3 linked regions of the Cricetulus griseus genome follow. The protein of the gene in region 3 interacts with the protein of the main gene of each other region in a pairwise test. Links are inferred from orthologs where the notes say so. Each region holds a gene or a part of one and is shown on either strand. Other genes may lie near its edges. The genes, in order: Myf5, myoblast determination protein 1 and Id1.

Region 1 (3,710 bases), on a different chromosome or scaffold from region 3:
TAATTTGCTAATTCCATTAAGGCTGATATTTTTAAGAGCCGAGAAACAAAATATTTATTTCAGTAAACAATTTTATTTATAGTGGAATTCAAAAAATTTATATTTTGAAATTATCCACAATGTACTATTTATTGCTTACATTGAAAAGAAGAATTTCTTACAAGAAAAGATGAAAATATATACCATTGACAGCACTGTTATATTTTCATTTGATGTAATATAAACAAAAGATTAAAGAGAAAAGCAAAAGTTAAATATATTTTGAATTCCCTGTAATGGATTCCAAGCTATTAAAATGTTTTTGAAGACAAAAATAGAGATCTAAATATGAAAGTTATTTTGATGAGCAATATTTACATTATAGATGTATAAATTAAGAATTACTATAAGCAACTGTCAATTAATTGCCACCACCAGAAAAATATTTTTGGAACCGTGAATCTAAAACAAAGGGAAGCTGAAAATGAAGACAAAGACAAATGAAGACAAAGAATGGGCAGAGGAGAAGTCATCATTGCAAATATGACTTTCAGTTAAATACATTTTCTTATAAAGTGTCAAGATGATATTTACAACTGAAAAGCACATATTATCCACAATTTGCCATCACTTCGGACACGTGGGGGCATCATTCCTCCCGTGTGTTAGTTCATAATACATGATAGATAAGTCTGGAACTGGAGGCTCCTGGGGTTGCAGGCTGTGAATTGCTGCTGGCAGCTGGAGAGAGAGATGCTGTGTCCTGAAGAGACAGCTCGGTTCTCTCTGCCGTCGTGATCCGATCCACTATGCTGGACAAACAATCCAAGCTGGATAAGGAGCTTTTATCTGCAGCACAGGCTAACAGTACAAGGAGAAAAGTGGTTTGAAAAAAATGTTATCCCCACACAGACAGGCTTGCTTATGCTGCCCTTTAAACTGTAGGTCAGCACCTTTGACAGCATGGGTCAGGTGATCACAGAGCCTGATGTAAGAATTTGCAGCAAATATCTAGCAACTCCTGAGGGTGGAGGTGTGGAGGGAAGAAGAAGAAGAAGAAAGAAGAAGAAGAAGAAGAAGAAGAAGAAGAAGAAGAAGAAGAAGAAGAAGAAGAAGAAGAAGAAGAAGAAGAAGAAGAAGAAGAAGTGTGTGTGTGTGTGTGTGTGTGTGTGTGTGTGTGTGTGTGTGTGTGTGTGTGTGTGCATTCGGGCATGCATGTGGTCTATCTGTTTGTCTCTTAGGGTAATCTGGAGCAGAAAATGTGTTTATTCTGTCAACGCCTTCCCATGACAGCCATCACTTCCATTCCTCCCAGTACTACTTGGAAGTTCAGACACTGCGAAGACAGGCTGAATTGCGAGACTGAAAAGATCTTTAAATGTGTCGGAAGTCATCAGTTCTTACCGTTCGACACTTCAGGACAGTAGACATTGTCAAAGCTGCTGTTCTTTCGGGACCAGACAGGACTGTTACATTCAGGCTGTAACACGCAACACACAGAATTGTATTGTCAAGCCTTTGGCAAAAGACGTCCAGACCTGGGGTGATATAGTACCGGACCCCAGCTCGGTAAACTGACTGCTCCTAGTCGTTCCCCCGTCCCCACCCCCCGGCTACAACACTGAAATAGGAAGGGGCTGCTGCCTCCAAATCACCAGGGCACCAAGGTCAGGCTCTATGCTGGAAGAAGAGGGAAGACGATGGAATCCTGCAGCAGTGTGCACTGTGTTATAACCATGCAAAATGGATTGCAATAGAAGGAAGCCGGACTAATTGTGGGAGAGAGCACTTTCCCAGGGCAAAACGGCGTTAAAATCTGGAACACTGGACCAGATACCTTTGGAAAGAAAATGTACTAACATTTCTTTCCAGCTTGGCCTCAGAGCAGGGATCGGGACCATGCTAGGAATTCTAATTCTTCCCTGAGTTATAAACTTGGGATTAGCTGTATGTCAGGGTCCACACTGATATATTTTGGAAACAACAGCAAAATCACTTAATCATTTAAATTAACCTGGGGTACATGACAACCTTTTTACTACCCATGTACATGCATATACACCCAGCTGGGAAATCAAAGGAAAATCTTGTGTAACAGTTTTTCTTTGCATCTTACTGTGAACACATCTCTGAAATCAACGGTTCCACTGTACCTGGTTTAGATGAGGTACGAGGAGGGCTTTTCACATAAACTAGGGCAGGAGAGAGTGGGTCTTGGAGTTGTGGCTTACCATGCCATCAGAGCAGTTGGAGGTGGGGCTGGTGGGCTCTGAGCAGCTCTGTCCGGGCAGGCTGTAATAGTTCTCCACCTGTTCCCTCAGTAGCTCCTGCAGGCTCTCGATGTAGCGGATGGCATTCCTAAGGATCTCCACTTTGGGGAGCCTCTGGTTGGGGTTGCTCGTGGTGCACCTCTTGAGCGTTTCGAAAGCTTGGTTGACCTTCTTTAGGCGTCTGCGCTCGCGCATGGTGGCGGCCTTGCGTCGGTCCATTGTGGTGGACTTCCTCTTGCAGGCTTTGCAGGCCCACATGAGGCAGTGGCCAGCCTGGTGGTGGCCACTAGGTGCTCGCACGTGCTCATCATCATCGGAGCCCTGCAGCTCAGCTTTGTGCCCTCCGAAGGCAGTCACTCTTGGTTCAAACTGGTCCCCAAACTCACCCTCAGGGGAGGGGATGCAGGAGCTCTCGTAGAAGTATTCAGAAGGTGAGAACTGGCAGCCATCCATCATGTCCATGCTTCAGAGAGGCAGGTGGGACACCTGGATTCAGCAAAGCAGGAGAAACGGGTGTCCCTGGTTGCTGCAGGCCAGCAAATCCCAGGCAGAGTTCCGCGTTTGGGATTGTTTCTCTGTAATTAACAAGGACAGACGCCTGTTGGTCAGGGTGGGTTGGTGCCTGAGGTTGGGGCTCTTTATATGTTCTTGGGGGATGGGAAGGGAGGCTGGTCCCTGTAGCTGGGCATTATTAGCATATCCCCCCACAACCCCCACAGGGGTTGGCTAGGCAAACCTCTCTCTGCCTTTCTTCTAAAGACAATTTGCTGTTTACTGGCTACTTCGACACAAATGATTTTTACTACAGCCCAGCCTGCTCAGTGGCCTTCTGGCTATTCCAAACCTGGGGATCACTTAAGGAGGCGGGTGTCTTGAAATCGATCGTACTTTAACGCAATCAGCAGCAGCATCGTAATAAGGCATTAAATTCTGTATTTCCATCTGAGGCCAAAGGAAACCTAGAGGCTGGAGGAGTCACTGATTTATTCTGGGGAGTGGGTGTGGGGGAGAGCTTGTATCTCATTTTCTTTACCTAAAGAGATTTTTGTCAGTTTGTACCCTTATAATTGTTGTTTTAAAAAATGAAGTGACATTTTCATTTCTGGAGAGAACCTAGAATGTCCTGTTTCAAAATCTGTTTGGTAAAGACTCAAGGAGAAAAGTTAGCATGAGTTGGTCATTCCATGGGTTCGACATTCTCCAGGGCTTCCTTTTCAGACCTGGCTCTGTCAGACATCATATTATTTTCTTCTGCTTAAAAAGGAAATGTCTTCAGGTGGACCAGGTGATCCGCCAGCATCCCACCCCTCCTAGCTTTCTTCCTTTCTTCCTTCCTCACACACTTGTCTGTTGCCTTTCTCTCTGTGCCTGCACTAGTCTAGTACCTGCACCGGGCAATTCCCACGCCTGTGGATGAGCAGAAGTCCAGTTTCTCACAGAAAACTCCCTTCCCAGTGTGGA
Region 2 (3,592 bases), about 130 Mb from region 3:
AAGCAAAGGCTGAGAAGGCTGCTGGTTATACAGTGCAAGCAGGTGTTGGAGACAGAAGCAAGCTCTCTTGCCAGCATAGCCGTGCACCTCCCCTGACATTTCCACACTCCCCTCCCTTTAGATTTTCAACCACGACCACAGTTACTCCTGGATACTGTCATTATCCCTGGATATGAAGTGGAAACAGACTTGGGAAGAGGTCACCTCCACAAAGTTATGCAAACTGCACTGTTGGTGAGGTCCTCAGGCCAGGTCCTGGCCATCATGACACTTAAGAAAGGCACTTCCTGGGGCTCGACTCAGAACAAGAGGACACAAAATTGCAGCAAACTGGCTTTCGTCTTAGCTGTAGAAACAGATCAACCCAGACCCCTGTGGCTCTCTAGATATCCACAGAAGGAATCCAGCTGGTTAAGTTGAGTGGAGCCTCTCTCCCTTCCTTCTTCGCTCGTTTCCTCCCTCCGTCCACCCTGATTTTGAGTAGAATGGCTTGAAGTTTTAATGCTGATCTCCCAACTACCGCAGAGACTGAACCGGGTTCCTAAGCTTCCTGAGGAAGATGGGCAAGACCAGGCGCTCTCTGGGCGGTGTCCAGATCCGCAATCAGCCAAATATCACTGCCACCAAGTCATTTGTCTCAGGCTTGCCCACTTAAACCTTTGGAGTCTCACTGTCTCTTGCTCACGTCGTCTTCGGCTCAACTTCTAAGGATGTGTCACCATTTCGCGGCTTCTTCTCTGGAGGTTCTTTGCCCTGTTGCCTTGTGACTCTCTACAAATCTCCCGCAATCTGATTTCTAATTCCTATTCTGTGCCTGGTTTCCCCACAAATCAGGAGACAGTGAGGTCCAAGGTCAGCGCTGTGGCTTCGCGGAGGCGCACTGGAGAGGCTTGGGCAGGCTGCATCTGGTAACCAAGTGCAAAGGAGGGCGGAGGGTGTTTGCCCGCCAGTGTCTGCCCTCCTCCCTGCCCCACCGCAGAGCCGCGGGAGGGGGCACTCCCTGGCCCCAGTGGCTACCCTGGGGACCCCACGCTCCGCCCTGCTGCACTCCTATTGGTTTAGGACACCCCCGCCCCCAGCCTCCCTTTCCAGCTCCCGGGCTTTTTAGGCTACCCTGGATAAATAGTCCTGGACGCCTGGCGCGAAGCTTGGGGCGAGGAAGTCCCAGGACGATTGCTTTCTTCGCCACAACTCCGACAGACCAGGGAGGGGAGGTAGAGGACAGCCTGTGTGCAGTCCAATCCTCAGCACTTTGTCATTGTACTGTCGGAGTTCAGGAGTGGCAGAAAGTGACTCTTGAGACTTGAGTTGAGCTAGAGGCAGGACCGAGAAGCCCAGGAGCTGGGATATGGAGTTATTGTCGCCGCCACTCCGGGACGTAGACTTGACAGGCCCCGACGGCTCTCTCTGCTCCTTTGCCACAGCCGACGACTTCTATGATGACCCGTGTTTCGACTCACCGGACCTGCGCTTTTTCGAGGACCTGGACCCGCGCCTGGTGCACGTGGGGACCCTCCTGAAACCGGAGGAGCACACACACTTCCCTACCACGGTGCACCCAGGCTCAGGTGCTCGCGAGGATGAGCATGTGCGCGCACCCAGTGGGCACCACCAGGCTGGTCGCTGCTTGCTGTGGGCCTGCAAAGCATGCAAGCGCAAGACCACCAACGCTGATCGCCGCAAGGCCGCCACCATGCGCGAGCGGCGCCGCCTGAGCAAAGTGAACGAGGCCTTCGAGACGCTCAAACGCTGCACGTCCAGCAACCCGAACCAACGGCTGCCCAAGGTGGAGATCCTGCGCAATGCCATCCGCTACATTGAAGGCCTGCAGGCTCTGCTGCGCGACCAGGACGCAGCACCCCCTGGCGCGGCTGCCTTCTACTCGCCCGGCCCGCTGCCCCCAGGCCGAGGCAGTGAGCACTACAGCGGCGACTCAGACGCTTCCAGCCCACGCTCCAACTGCTCAGATGGCATGGTAAGGCCGGGTCTCAGAAGAAGGCCAAGTGCAGGTGGCACCTGGGGAATCTGGAATGCTTTTGAGTCCGTTAGGGTTGGGGAAGTTCTTTAGACCCAGGTGTGCCTGGCATGTGACTGGGGTCTCTGGAGACCCTGGGCATCTGTGATTTGCCTAGTGGGGGTGGCATCAAAATACTGCTATGCAGACCACAGGACATACGTTTTCTCCCCAAATCCGTATCACCCAAATGTAGATTTGTTGTTGTTGTTCCTGGGTCACCATCCAGTCTCAGTTTGGCCCTGCATGCGATATATTTCAATGTTTGCTGGCTCCTACTTCCTAACTAGGGCTGACCCAGTCCTGGAACGCCCCCAGCTGAGACTAGGGGAGTGAGGGAGGGGCGGTGACAAGGAGCAGTGCTTGAGACGCCCCGAGGATCTGACTCCATCATTCTTGCTATTCGCAGATGGATTACACTGGCCCCCCGAGAGGCCCCCGGGGGCAGAATGGCTACGACGCCACCTACTACAGCGAGGCCTCCAGCGGTGGTGCGTATTCTCAGCTGTTCCCAGCTAGCAGCTGGGAATTGCCTTCCATGTCCCCCTTGAAGCTGTCCTTGCTCCCCAGGCTCAGTACCCCCCTCCCTGCCTCCATCACAAACACACTTGTATCTTGGGACTACGAAGGGGGCTGGTTAGGGGTTAAACAGTGTGCACCTTCCTCTTCTTTCTCCGTTCAGTCTGGCAAGTCCTCAGTTTCTCTTCTGCTCCAAAGCTCTGTGTTCTGATGGAGTGGGGAGAGAGTGTAAGAGACTTGAAGAGACTCAAGCTTGGAATACTAACCTTCCCCTCCCCCTATAGAGTCCAGGCCAAGGAAGAGTGCAGCCGTGTCGAGCCTCGACTGCCTATCCAGCATCGTGGAGCGCATCTCCACGGACAGCCCCGCTGCTCCTGCTCTGCTGCTGGCAGATGCATCTCCAGAATCTCCTCCAGGTCCTCCAGAAGGTGCATCCCCAAGCGACACAGAACAGGGGGCCCAGACCCCGTCGTCCCCTGATGCCTCCCTGCAGTGCCCTGTAGTCGCGAACGCCAATCCGACCTATCAGATGCTTTGAGAGGTCAGCTGCTGTAGGAGAGGGCATACCGCCTACACGCCTCGGGGGAGTGGGGGGTGGGAGGTCCTTCACACCCCCAAAAATGAAGCTTAAATGACACTCCTCCCAACTGTCCTTTCAAAGCCACACATCCAGAGGCTGGAAAAGGGGGAGCAGAAATCTGTCCCCACAGCGGTCCCCAAGGAAAGGACGCAGTCCATTTGTTGTCGTTGTTTTATTTTATTTTTTTCATGTGACTCACAAAAGACAGCCACTTGCTGCCCCTAACCGCCAGGGTTTCTTCCTTTCTCGCAGCTCCTCGAGCAGGGCTGAGCCCGGTACACCTAGGCCCTGCTCTCCAGGTCCCTGTTGTTTGTGGAGACATGATCCCCATTTTCCGGAGGCCCCCTAATATATGCTCTTTCCCACAGCCTGCGGGAAAGCCGCTCCAGTCCCGTGTGTAACAGGTGTAACCATACCCCACCTTCCCCTGTCCCAAGCGCGGTTCAGGACCACTTATTTTTTTTATATAAGACTTTTTG
Region 3 (3,223 bases):
GCATCCAGAAAAAGGTGGCTCAGCGGGGAAGGGGGGCCACACAAGTCCTGCTTCAGGCAAGATCTGACCCTATGCAGGCTCCTTTGCCTAAGGTCTCATCACACAACACAGACACACACCCCTGCCCTTGGCAAGGAATCGAATGGTCCAGTGACCTGTTTTTCCAACTTGAATGGCATGAATATTCCCCAGCCCAGAGCAGGCCAACCCAGCAGGTCCATCTGCATTTTAACAACCTCCTCCCCCTGGGTGATCCAGATGGCCCAGCCACCACTTTGAGAGAAGCCCTACTAGAGGTCTAGAGGATTTAATTTTATGACACCAGGGAACAGGGAAATGGCCAGGGATGAAGGAAAAGAATAGACATTAAAGACACCGGAAACACTCATTCAGGTCGGAAAGAATGACAGTCCAGATGTGCCCCTCCAATTCCTAGCTTCTCAACACCAGCTGTGAAAATGGTCAGAGGTCACTCCTGCCCACAGACCCCTCCCCCATCCAAGAAGTCACTACAACGTATATAAAGTATTTGTTTAATAACAACAAAAAACCCACCCCCATAAAACTATTGTAAAACAATATTCTTAGCCAGTGATCATTGTAATATACAATACGAAACATTTCCTCAGAAATCTGAGAAGCACGAAATGTGACCATTTAAAAAAAATGTCTGCTTTTCGAAAAAATAGAAACATACGGGGTTGGTTAACTACCCCCTCCCCAAGTCTCTGGGGGGCTGAAAGGTGGAGAGGGCGAGCCTCTGCTGGTCAAGCCTCTGAGCCCCGTGACCAGATCCAAGGTGGCCGCGACAAGAGTCTTTCCCCGGGCTCTCCCGGGGAACCGCGAGCACTTTATTCCTCTTGCCTCCTGAAGGGCTGGAGTCCATCTGGTCCTCAGTGCGCCGCTTCAGCGACACAAGATGCGATCGTCGGCTGGAACGCATGCTGCCTGTGAACACCAGAGCGAGATAAGGAATGAGACAGGATGGAAAGGCAAGAAGGGGAGAGGCGTTCCCACTTCTGCACTCTTAAGGGCCACGGTGAAGAAGCCAGTTTTTTTTCTCCCCCAATTAGGCGTCCCTAAATAGCCATGCGCCCGAAAAGTAAGGCAGACATACTGCTAACCCCTCCCCATGGCCTCAGTTTCCCTATGCACAGGAGAATAATGTAATGTTTCGACTCGGACCTCACCTCGGCCGCCAAGGCACTGATCTCGCCATTCAGGGTGCTGAGCGGAGCCCGAACCGGCAGCCCCCGGCCTCCAGCTGTCCCGACTTCGGATTCCGAGTTCAGCTCCAGCTGCAGGTCCCTGATGTAGTCGATAACGTGCTGCAGGATCTCCACCTTGCTCACTTTGCGGTTCTGAGGCAAGGTGGGCACCAGTTCCTTGAGGCGGGAGTAGCAGCCGTTCATGTCGTAGAGCAGGACGTTCACCTGCTGCTCGTCCAGCAGGGCGGGAAGGCGCGTCCCGGCGCAGCGCGAGATGGCTACGCTCTGCTCGGACAGGCCAAGCACAACCTCGCCCGCGCCGCCCGCCGTCCTGCCCGCCTTCAGCGAGCAGCTGGGGCCCGCGGTGGCCGCGGTGCTACCACTGGCGACCTTCATTATCTTGAGGACAGGCGGAGAGTCGCGGAGGAGCCTACGAAGGGGGCGTAGGTGGAGAGCGCGCAGAAGTTGCCGGAAGGTTGTACAATGAGAGGGCTCGCGCTGGAGCCAGTCTTTTATAAGGGCGGACCCAGGGCGGGTTCAGGACGTTCAAAAGCAACCAATGGTTTGTCTGGAGGCGTGGTCTAGCGCGCCCTCGGGTCCCAGCTCGGCGCACCCTTAGGCTTATGGAAAGGTGGTTGGTGGGCTTAAGAACAGAAAGGATGGGAGGCCCTGGGCAGAACGGCTAAGCCAATTTTGCAGATAACAAAAAGACCCCAGGAATCTCGTGGTCTTTTTCTCGCTTCTCCAGGTCCATTTTGCAGATGAGATAAACAAACGGAGAAATGGCTGGCTCTGGGGAGGTCAGTAGCTAAGGACTAGCCCAGGGTTTCCAGATGCAATCGGAAGATTGGATTATGATCTCCATTTATCAAAGTTGAATTTTATTTTTGTATTTATTTACCTATGAGGGTTTTGTTTGTTTGGTTGGTTTTGTTCGTCTTGAAACTTAATCTCAGGTAACCCAGGCTGGACTCAGAATTTGCTATGATGCTCATTGCTCCACCTCCCAGGCTGAGATTACAGGTGTGCCCCGCCACATCATATTAAGAGCCCTAGCTTAGTCTGATCTCCGGGGCTGATCTCAATTTCCAGAAAATGAACTGTAAAATCCCTAGGACCAGGACCTAAGTCCACTGGGAACGATACCAGGAACATCTTTAAAGTGGAGGACAGAGTCAGACCTGTACTAGATAGAAGGGTCGCTGTGGAGTGAGACTACAGCCCCCAATTCTACCCTGGATTTGCAGCCTCTTGCAGAAAGGTTCCAAATCTGCAGCAGCTGGTGATTTTTAAAATTTTTTCTCTCTTTTTGCTAGTTTTTTTTTTTTCTTTTTTTTTCTTGAAGCCCTCGGAGCAAGCTCTCCCTCCCACAGAGCAGCAGCTGCGGAGATGGCCCCCTCCCTTTCCTTTCCCGGGCTGGTCTGTGTCAGCGTCTGAACAAGCAGCTCAGACCGTTAGACGCCAGGCCCGTGACGTCACCCATTCATAAAACCCGGACGGGCTGTCAAGCTGGCGCCGCGCGGGCGGTCGTCATGGAGACGGCAAACTGGGCTGGAGCATTCTCCGCTTCTTCCCCCTCCCATGAGCCTGTCACCTGCAGACCTTGGGCGGGAGGCCTGGGAATGCGTTCCTTGTGGGCGCGGTCGCTGACCAAGGGTCAACTTACCTCCCCGCCCCACACCTGCTGAGTCTCCTCCACCCAGCCCCACAGCTCTGGTGGTTTTCTCACACCCTTCCACCCCAAACCCCTCTCGACCGAGGCCCCTCCCCAGATGAGTTGGATTTCTACACTGAGATTACAGGTGTGCTCTGTCATGTCATGTTCTGAGACAGATTTTAAAGCATGCCCTCTTTTCTTCTGGTCTCCGAGACTCAGTTTCCAGAAAATGAACGTGAAGTTCCTAGGACCAGGACGTAGGTCCATTGAACTGGGAGCGATACTGAAAACGTCTTCCTTTTGGGGGGCAGGGGGGATGTCTCCCTTTAAGATGGAGGGGAGTCTGAGACGTGAAGTT

Evidence for each region.
Region 1: the proteins of Id1 (region 3) and Myf5 interact in binary tests that used the Homo sapiens proteins (3 or more experiments, as listed by UniProt). The link is inferred for Cricetulus griseus from reciprocal best matches to the Homo sapiens genes ID1 and MYF5.
Region 2: the proteins of Id1 (region 3) and myoblast determination protein 1 interact in a two-hybrid assay, tested with the Homo sapiens proteins (5 studies listed by BioGRID). The link is inferred for Cricetulus griseus from reciprocal best matches to the Homo sapiens genes ID1 and MYOD1.

Annotation. Positions count from the first base shown.
Region 1 is NW_023276806.1:147,626,050-147,629,759, reverse strand, and holds Myf5 (myogenic factor 5), read right to left. Parts: upstream 2,712-3,710; coding exon 2,211-2,711; intron 1,460-2,210; coding exon 1,384-1,459; intron 841-1,383; coding exon 650-840; downstream 1-649.
Region 2 is NC_048599.1:155,322,050-155,325,641, forward strand, and holds myoblast determination protein 1, read left to right. Parts: upstream 1-1,348; coding exon 1,349-1,975; intron 1,976-2,423; coding exon 2,424-2,502; intron 2,503-2,817; coding exon 2,818-3,071; downstream 3,072-3,592. UniProt on the Homo sapiens protein: Acts as a transcriptional activator that promotes transcription of muscle-specific target genes and plays a role in muscle differentiation. Together with MYF5 and MYOG, co-occupies muscle-specific gene promoter core region during myogenesis.
Region 3 is NC_048599.1:27,271,212-27,274,434, forward strand, and holds Id1 (DNA-binding protein inhibitor ID-1), read right to left. Parts: upstream 1,699-3,223; 5' UTR 1,605-1,698; coding exon 1,186-1,604; intron 949-1,185; coding exon 894-948; 3' UTR 518-893; downstream 1-517. UniProt on the Homo sapiens protein: Transcriptional regulator (lacking a basic DNA binding domain) which negatively regulates the basic helix-loop-helix (bHLH) transcription factors by forming heterodimers and inhibiting their DNA binding and transcriptional activity.